2 linked regions of the Xenopus tropicalis genome follow. The protein of the gene in region 1 purifies or fractionates together with the protein of each later gene. This does not show direct contact. Links are inferred from orthologs where the notes say so. Each region holds a gene or a part of one and is shown in the gene's direction. Other genes may lie near its edges.

Evidence for each region.
Region 2: the proteins of irf2 (region 1) and irf2bpl purify together in Homo sapiens (affinity purification with mass spectrometry; 3 studies listed by BioGRID and IntAct, counting the BioPlex papers as one, with this or other methods). This does not show direct contact. The link is inferred for Xenopus tropicalis from reciprocal best matches to the Homo sapiens genes IRF2 and IRF2BPL.

Annotation. Positions count from the first base shown.
Region 1 is NC_030677.2:44,876,400-44,880,925, forward strand, and holds the start of irf2 (interferon regulatory factor 2), read left to right. Parts: upstream 1-1,582; 5' UTR 1,583-1,646; intron 1,647-2,033; exon of another isoform or gene 2,034-2,698; intron 2,699-4,526. UniProt on the Homo sapiens protein: Specifically binds to the upstream regulatory region of type I IFN and IFN-inducible MHC class I genes (the interferon consensus sequence (ICS)) and represses those genes. Also acts as an activator for several genes including H4 and IL7.
Region 2 is NC_030684.2:82,572,551-82,577,098, forward strand, and holds the start of irf2bpl (interferon regulatory factor 2-binding protein-like), read left to right. Parts: upstream 1-1,506; 5' UTR 1,507-1,711; coding exon 1,712-3,784; 3' UTR 3,785-4,548. UniProt on the Homo sapiens protein: Probable E3 ubiquitin protein ligase involved in the proteasome-mediated ubiquitin-dependent degradation of target proteins. Through the degradation of CTNNB1, functions downstream of FOXF2 to negatively regulate the Wnt signaling pathway.

The DNA of each region.
Region 1 (4,526 bases):
CTGAAAATTCTGCAAAAACTATCAATTCATCAATTCAACTGGCAGCCAACTGCATCTGAAGCAAAGCTGGGTCGTACATGAAGAAATTGGTATAATAAATATAGATAAATGGAGGGCACTCACTTCACAGTCAAAAATACAATATAGGTGTTTGGTGCAAAAAAAAAACAAAAATTGTACCCCCATATAGGGTACCCAAGACAATAATTTTAAATAGAATAAGGGTTTGCACACAAACAATTTTAATTACAAAATTACAGAAAATAACACATAAAGTTGTAAGATAATACATATCACAAAAATGTGCATAGGCAATTCCCTTGAGAAAGGCTCTTTGCCAAAACATTGGGGCAATTCTCATCTTTGGCAAGTGTATCCGCTAACCTGTGTGTCTCTTTTTGCCTGTGCACATTTTTGTGGTATGTATCATCTTACAACTTTATGTGTTTTGTAATTAGAATTGATTGATTGAAATTGGTAGCCAGAAAAAAATATATCCAGGGTGGTACTACCTGTTTCTGGTTAATGACAAAAGGTAAAATGATTTAATGGTAAGCACAGAAAAAAAAATTGCATGGACCAGGGACAATGGCAATGGCCATCCTCCATTTTAATACTTCTGAAACTTAGTGGAGGCAAGATATGAGAATTTCATCTACACACACCCAGGCAAAGAAGGGACTATTCTTCATAAGAAATTATCAGCATCATTCACCCTAAGAAATAAAGTACTATAAAATGCTCCTTGTGGGAAAGGGGAAATGCATGTCATTAGGGAAAATGTATTTAGTTAGATTTTGATGCAAAATAGGAAGGCCTTGCAGCTTCAGTGTGATAAACTGAATATTGAACTGAGCAATAAAATCAGTGTTACCAAATCAGATCAGTTACATATTTAGGCCACTGGCCTACAAACTAACAGGACACAATAAAGAAAAACACTGGTCAGACTAGTACTGGGAACAGTAACCCATAGCAACCATTAGCAAATCCCTTTTTCTTAGCCAGCTTCAGGTAAAACAATGAATGCAAAATTGCGATTGGTTTTAATAATATTTTGCAGGTGCAAATTTCCTTAACGTTGATAAAGAAAACCCTTATTGATTTCTAGTTGAATCTGATTGGGTTTTCCACACTGTGCTAAAGAGTATTTTGTGTACATATACTGACTGGCTAATAGAGCTGCAGACTTGTGTACAGTTATTGACTGAATGTGAAATTAAAGTCTATTTCAGCTATAAATGATGGGGTGATTTGCTTAGGCAGCTAGAGTCCGCCCTTTGTCAGAGCCAGGGGCAGGTTTGCAGCCGCCTCACGCAAACTGCCGCCGCTGTGCTGAGAGCAGCAACAGGGAAGTGAAAATGAAATTGCCTTATTCTGAGAATCTCTGGGCTTGGGGCCGGCCTGGCCAATGGGAAGGCAGCAGCTGCAGGAGCCAGAGAGAAGCTTCCGCACTATAGAAAGCAAACCCTCCCCTCCCTGTCCTTGTGCTGAGTAAACCCGAAACAAACAAATCCAGCATCAGCAGGGAGGGGGGAGAGACTTCTTGCCTGAGCCCTCTCTCTCACACACACTTTTCTCTCCTTGTTTTGCTTTCGATCTGGAGCCGTCACTTTTAGTTTTGATCCTGCGATCATTTAGTGCTGGTATGTAACTTCCATTTTGCACCCCTTCTGGGCAGTATGCACTAGAACTCGCCGAGCGATCAGAGCTGCGGGCAAATGCCAAACTGTAAATGGCTATATGTAATAAGTGTTGTTTGGGCGAGGAGCTGTACAGTGAGGCAGCGGCAGAGAGGCGAGCAGGGAGCTGCTGTGTAAAGAGAAATGAGCAGAATAGGGCAGATCGGAAGGGCTGCTGGGGCAGGAGGCAGACTTTTATTTTCACTTTTGGATTTGGGGGGGAGGGGGTGCTTGTGCTTTGGGTGAGTCCGGCCTGGCAGGATAAGATGGGGAATGAGATCATTGCTGGGCTGTAGGCAGAGAATTGTAGTTCTTTCCCGAACAATTTACTGCACTGGTGTATTCACCACCGCACTGAAACCTTCATATGGAGAATTGCTGTAGGGCAGTCCGTGTGTACGCAAGCCTGCATGCCCCCCATTATTATTACATGTAATTTGATTGCTCGCCCAGCTGACTTTCTGCTATTTACGGCATTGATGTAAACGCCTTTAAAATAGCCCCCCGGTGGGTAAGCCAGTGAGATTGTGTTGCAGGCAGGAATGTCTGCGCATTTCCAGCTGCTGCACAACTTCCACAGCTACCCCACTCCGAGTTGCAGTGTAACAGCAGCCGGGGGGCCGCACATTCCTGCATACAGCAGCCTGGCTGGGGGAAACGTTGTGTAGGGAAACTAGTCGCGGCTTGGGGGCTTCCGTAACTACAATTCCCAGGGATCCCTTTGGGTCACAGAGATCAGAAGACGTGTTGCAAAGTGTGATAGCTTTCTGGGGCAAGGGATGGGGTTGCGTTCTTGCTGCTGTTATGGCTACTGAGGCGAGTCATCTGTGCTTAGAATTCTCGGGCGCCATTTCAGAAGCAAGCATCTTGTGATCCACGTATGGCTCTTCAGCCCCAGCAAGCAGGGAAGATGGAGCTGCGTACATAGGCTGCATACCCTGTTATTGCATTGCCTACGGGCCGATCCCGGGTGTAGTCTCTCGGCGCGCAGGCCTGCCCACTGGCCTCCATTTTGAGTGAGTCCCAGGCCCCGCCAGCAGCGCACGTAGAGTAATGTACAATACCCGGCACGGTTCCGTTGCTATGTGGCAAGACAGGCTACCAGCCTGGAACACGCACAGGGAATGTGTAAGCCTCAGGGGCTGTGCCTTTTGGCATTAGCTTTTGAGAAAGACAAACTAATTAAAGTGCAGTTGTAGTTGTTTTTGCCATCTCCGTGTATCCAAGTTATCTTTCCTCAAGGGAAATTAATATATATATTTACCAATGTCCATACTGCCATGGCCACACTATGGTTCTGTCGCTATCTCTGCTGCTGTTTGTGTGAAGATAATTTATTTTATCTTAAGACTGTATCTGCTACCAGTGTACATGCTCATGTATTTATGTTGCTTTGCGGTATCCCTGCTGTGGCCCCTGCCCTGGCACTCCTGAAGGTTTGGCATAAGGGCCGGTTTGAGGGCAAGGCAATACAGGCCCTAAGGGTATGAGAAGGTAGCAGTACTGCAGCTCTTATCCCACAGTCCTTATTTGTTAGTGTCATGGCAAATGCAACCTGCAGCCTTTCCTACAACTCCTGGTAACCAATCCTGATAGATTAACTTCAGCCCAAACTTCAGTTGCCCTGTAGTTAGGACACTGATTTAACTTTTTCAAAAGTGTCAGAAAAACATGAAAAAGTAGGGTTATTGTAGAAAAATACCTATGGTTATGTTTTTTTAGCCAACACTATACCTATAGTTTTTGAAGAGGCGGAGATTACTTAGCTTAATTGTAACCTGTCTCAGGGTGGTAGGAAAAACTGTGGGGACATTTGGTTTTGTTTGTTTCTGTGTGTGTTGAGTATTTAATTCATCAGTTCTGTTTAAGTTACTGAATAGTCAGCCTAATTACAATAGCAAAGGCCCAAATGTTATATTTAGGTAGTATGGCAGTAAAAACTGTATGGAATTGTTGTGCTGCCTGTCAAAACAATGAAATTGATGTGCCTCAGGTTACAGCCTTCTGTTATGGTATCAATTCTAAGAATGCAGGCTGCAAGGAGGAACTTGGAAAGTCTGTTCAGGGGAAAAATCTTGCTGTTCTTTGGAGGGATTGCAAAAGCACTATGCATCCATGCAATTAAATTGAATATTTTATTTAGTTGGGCTTTAGTTGACCTTTAACTAACCTGTAAGGCCAATGGCACACGTTGTGATTCTAGGTGATTTGCTTGGGTGATTTAATAGCTCCAGAGACTGGGGGGGTTAATCCTATTTCTCGTTGGTTTAAACTGCAGTTGCATGGAATTTTGGGTGTATATGCAGGTTAAATAGTTACATGCACTATTACCTCAAACTTAAATGTATCTGTCCCTGTAAATTAAAGTTATAACATAAACACATCATCATAAGATAATTTACTGATAATTGTCTCTACGTGTGTTTTAGCAGAGGCAATTCTTAGTATTGTCTATGGCAAGGTATTTTCTGGAGTTAAGGCAGTGGCATACGGGGAGATTAGTTGCTCTGCAACAAATCTTCATTGCCGCGGGTGACTAATCTCCCCACAATGCCATCCCACGGGCAAGAATATAAATCGCCGGTGTGGTGGCATATGCGTTGCTATGATTTCCCAAAGTTGCCTCTCAAGGAACCTTCGGGCGACTTCGGGAAACCGTAGTGATGCGTATGCCATCCCACCAGCGATTTACATTCTAGTCGGTGAGATTAGTTGCCCGCGGCAATAAAGATTTGTTGCGGGGCGACTAATCTCCCCGTGTGCCACTGCCCTTAAGTAACTGTAAAAAAGTAGCTGCTACTAGTAGCTCTGTGTGTCTTCACCTTAAATTCTAAAGTCATGTAT
Region 2 (4,548 bases), on another chromosome or scaffold:
GATTGGTGACATTATGGAGCAGATTGCTTATGTCACGAGGTAGGGACTGGGAGGTTCTGTGGCAATCAGGGGGTGGGGAAGTGGGAGGATTGGTGCATCATCAGGGACTGAAAGCTGTGGGAGAGGTGCTGGAAGGTTTAAGGGAGGTGACAGACGGGGAGATTAGTCGCCCCACGACAAATCTTTGGTGCTGCAGGCGACTAATCTCCTCACAATGCCATCCCACCAGCAAGAAAATTAATTTGCCCATGGGATGACATATGTGGTGCAGCGATTTCCGGAAGTTGCCCAAAGTTTTCGCTTAAGGCAACTTCAGGCGGCTTCCGGAAATTGCAGCGACGCGTATGCCATCCCACCGGCGATTTACATTCTAGCCGGTGGGATAGCATTGCGGGGAGATTAGTTGCCCGCGACAAAGAAGCTGGGCGACTAATCTTCCCGTGTGCCACTGCCCTAAAAGGCAATGTTTAGTTGTGAAATACTCTGGGAAGTAAATTCACTAAATTATTAATTTACCACCAACTACACTGTAATTTGTAATATCGGCCCCAGCTCTAGGTGGTGAAATACCTGCCTAGGTGCAAATCACATTAAGTAGGTGCAGGGGGGGGGGGAATTCCCACAGCAAAAAGCAATTTAAATTGACACATCTGCAATGATGCATTAAAATAACAAAAGGTTCCCTTTATTAATTATTATAAAATTATACTGTTAAAACCATAAGGTAAAAACAGCAGATTACAAGACATCAAAAAAGCAGCATAAAATATTCATCACACAGCAACCAAAAAGACTCTCAAAAGCTTCTGTTTAATTATTTCAGCTTTAAAGGAACAGCCCAAAATAAACGACTGTTTTAAAGTAATTCTTTAGAAACACTTTCATTCTCCGGTGGTCCTGTTCCTTTAAGCTGCCTACTATATTAGCTACTGTTTGGCCCACACGCTTTACAAAATATATATGACTAGACAACGTTATCGCGTCTATAACCCACCTCACCCCTCTCAAACCAAAAACACATACAATACACAGCCTTTATTTATGTGCAGCCACAAAGCAACGATCCTAAAGAATTGTCCATGTAAGCGCTTTTACTAGCACGCGTTCCATTTCAAAGGAGTGTGCCGGCAACTATTAGTCTCACACGTCACCGTTTGCACTGTTTTGTATTTCACTGCGTGTCACCATTTTGTTCAACCTCAGAACAGAATTTTCACACAGCAGCCCGCTGCTAAGCGAGTCACGTGATAGGAACACCACGTGTGCAGAGCGCAGAAGAGCAGAGAGGGCGGGGAAGTTGTGCGGACAGGCCCGGGACTCAACAACATGTTTGTCAGTGGGGGCGGGGGAGTGACGTCAAAGCCAGGTGGCATTCTTGGACTTCGTCATTACGGTGCAGTTTAGAGACGCGCACGCACTCGCGGAATCCCAATCCTGCGTGACAGAGTGTGCGCGTTCGTGTGAGTGCGCGTTCCGGGCGGGCTGCGGCTTGCGGATAGAGCGACAGTCGGAGAGAGCACGCCCGGAGAGGAGAACGGCGGAAAGACAGGCGAAGAGCCCGGAGAAGCGTGCTAACCGGCTTTCTGTGCACCCAGCGTCTCCTAAATAGCATCCGGATCGAGCAGAAAGAGCTATCAATACCCTTCACCGCATGCTCCCCCCACGCTGAGTATTCCTTCCCCTCCCCTGTGTTGAGCCTTCGCTCACCAGCATGTCGGCCGCACAGGTCTCCTCCTCACGCCGCCAGTCGTGTTACCTGTGTGACTTGCCACGGATGCCATGGGCTATGATCTGGGACTTCACTGAGCCAGTTTGTCGCGGCTGTGTCAACTATGAGGGGGCAGATCGAATAGAATTTGTCATTGACACTGCTCGGCAACTGAAACGCAGCCACAGTTTCCAGGATGGTCGTTCACCTGGACCCCAGGGCCCCGGCTCAGGAGCAGCCAACAAACAGCACCCAGCTGTGCAGGCAGCCCTCACAGCAAAAGATACTGCCCAGCTAAACCATTTAGATGGGGCTACTAAGGCAGCAGCTGCCTCTGGGCTGGAGAGATACGGATTGGCCACAGATCGAGGTCGCTTCGAGTACACATTAACTGCTCGGCTTCCCAATGGCCTTAATGGGTTCCCCAAGCCAGGGGAGGATGGCCCCCCAGAGCTGAACAGGCAGAGTCCCAACTCACGCGGCCGAACAGGTCATGGGCTAATCCCACAACTGGTGCCAGGGCAGCTGAGTGTGCCTCCTAATCTTCTACCCCAGACCCTTCTTAATGGACCACCATCAGGCACTCCATCAGGAGCTCCTCATGTTCTGGGAAGGGGTCCTGCAAGTTCCAGTGGCCTAAGTGTTCCACCTACAGCCTCTTCATCTGGTGACCCCAAGCGTCCAGGATCTGTATCTAGTACTGACCAGGAGCGAGAGCTCAAGGAAAAGCAGCGAAACAGTGAGGCTCTTTCTGAACTGACAGAGAGCCTACGTAATAGAGCAGAAGAGTGGGCAGGGAAGCCTAAAGCAGTGAGAGATGCATTGCTCACTCTATCTGCCTGTACACCCTTTGATGTTCGCTTCAAAAAGGACCACAACTTGCTGGGGAGAGTCTTTGCATTTGATGCTGCATCAAAGCCAGGCCTGCTGGATTATGAATTGAAACTGTTTGTTGAATATCCCAGTGGCTTACTTAATGTGTTTAGTTCTGCCTCTGGTGTAGCCAAACAAATGTATCAGGACTGCATGAAGGACTTTGGTCGTGGTCTGTCATCTGGTTTTAAATACCTGGAATATGAGAAAAAGCATGGTTCTGGAGACTGGCGTTTGCTTGGGGACTTGCTTCCAGAATCTGTGCGCTTTTTTAAAGAAATGGTAGGGGCCGATATGTTACCCCAACCCTACCTTGACCCTGGGTGTCCCATGCTGCCCAGCGCACTTGTAAATCTGCCACGGGCACTGGCTGCAGCTGCAGCTGCCTCATCATCAGCTGGTGGCAGTGGGCAGGCCAGAAGTGGTGTAAGGAAACGCAAACCCTCCCCAGAACCAGACTCAGCCGATGGACAAATGTGGATAACTGGGCAGCCTGATGGTATAAAACAACTAAGCATGGCAGCTGCAGGAGGCACACCATCTTCTTCATCTGCAGCCTATGGTGTACCTTCTGTTCCTCCCCCACCGCTAGGCCCTGGCCACCCACAGCGCACAACCCCACCTGAGAGTGCACCTCCAAATGGTCCATCTCCTATGGCAGCACTTCAGTCAGTTACAGACACTCTGGGCACTGCCCACTCCCCCAAGGATGGGCAGACAGGTGGTGTACCACCAGTTCACTCCACCACTTCATCAGCCCGCAGAAATAGCAGCAGCCCAGTTTCACCTGCATCGGTAACAGGACAAAGACGTCTTAACTCCCGCAATGGTGCAGGTTCAGCAGACCTGAGTCTTCAAGTGGCACCTGCTGGGGGTGCCCCTCATCCTGGAATGGACCAAGTGCATCCCCAGAATATTCCTGATTCCCCCATGGCTAACAGTGGCCCTCTGTGCTGCACCATTTGTCATGAGCGTCTAGAGGACACACACTTTGTCCAGTGTCCATCTGTGCCCAGCCACAAATTCTGCTTTCCCTGTTCTCGTGACAGCATTAAAGCCCAAGGGGCAACTGGTGAAGTCTACTGTCCCAGTGGGGAGAAGTGCCCCTTAGTGGGTTCTAATGTACCGTGGGCATTCATGCAAGGGGAAATTGCCACCATCCTGGCAGGGGATGTCAAGGTGAAAAAGGAGAGGGACCCTTAGGAACTCCGGTAAATCATGGTCACCTGTTCTGTGCAAGGGGTCCCCTGCCCCTTTTGTGTATATGTTCAGCTCCCCACCAATAACCTGCAAACCAAAGACAGGTTCTAATGGATGGGGATTTGTGAGAGAAAAGAACCAGAATGTTGCTCTGCAAAATGGAATGTAATGAGGCAAATCTTTCCCTTTATCCCTAACACATTCCCAAAATGCCTCCATGTGGAAACATACTAAAGGAACCTACTGGTTTGCAGATGTAACTTTGAGAGCAGGACACCTACAGTGTGCAGTGAATCGGTTACTGGCATTAGGGAATTGTTTGAAGAGACACCATAAAACTCAATGGTTTTTAATCTTTGGCCTCCAAGGGGTAATGCAGTGACATTTGTAATTATCATGGAAATACAGACATGCCTAAGGAATGAGCACTAGAGCACCCAAGAATACTCCAACCACTTAACCAAATGGCAAGAGGCATGTTGGTGGGTGCAAGTTGCTCTCTCGCACAGCCTTATGCAGAATCGAAGGGTGACTCTTGGGCAGAACAACATTTATAAACTTAGTCTTACTTATACAACAATTTTGTGGTGTTTCTACATTTGGAAACACAGATAATGTATACTTCATTTGAAGGGTGCAACAAATGATTTTTGGTTACAGTGGGATATCTGTCCTTGTATCTTTTTTTTTTTTTTTTTTTTTCTTCCTGTTTATTTTTTGTCTTTTCTGAACAGCTTTTGTGGCAGTGTCCACCCGATAAAGGTTTA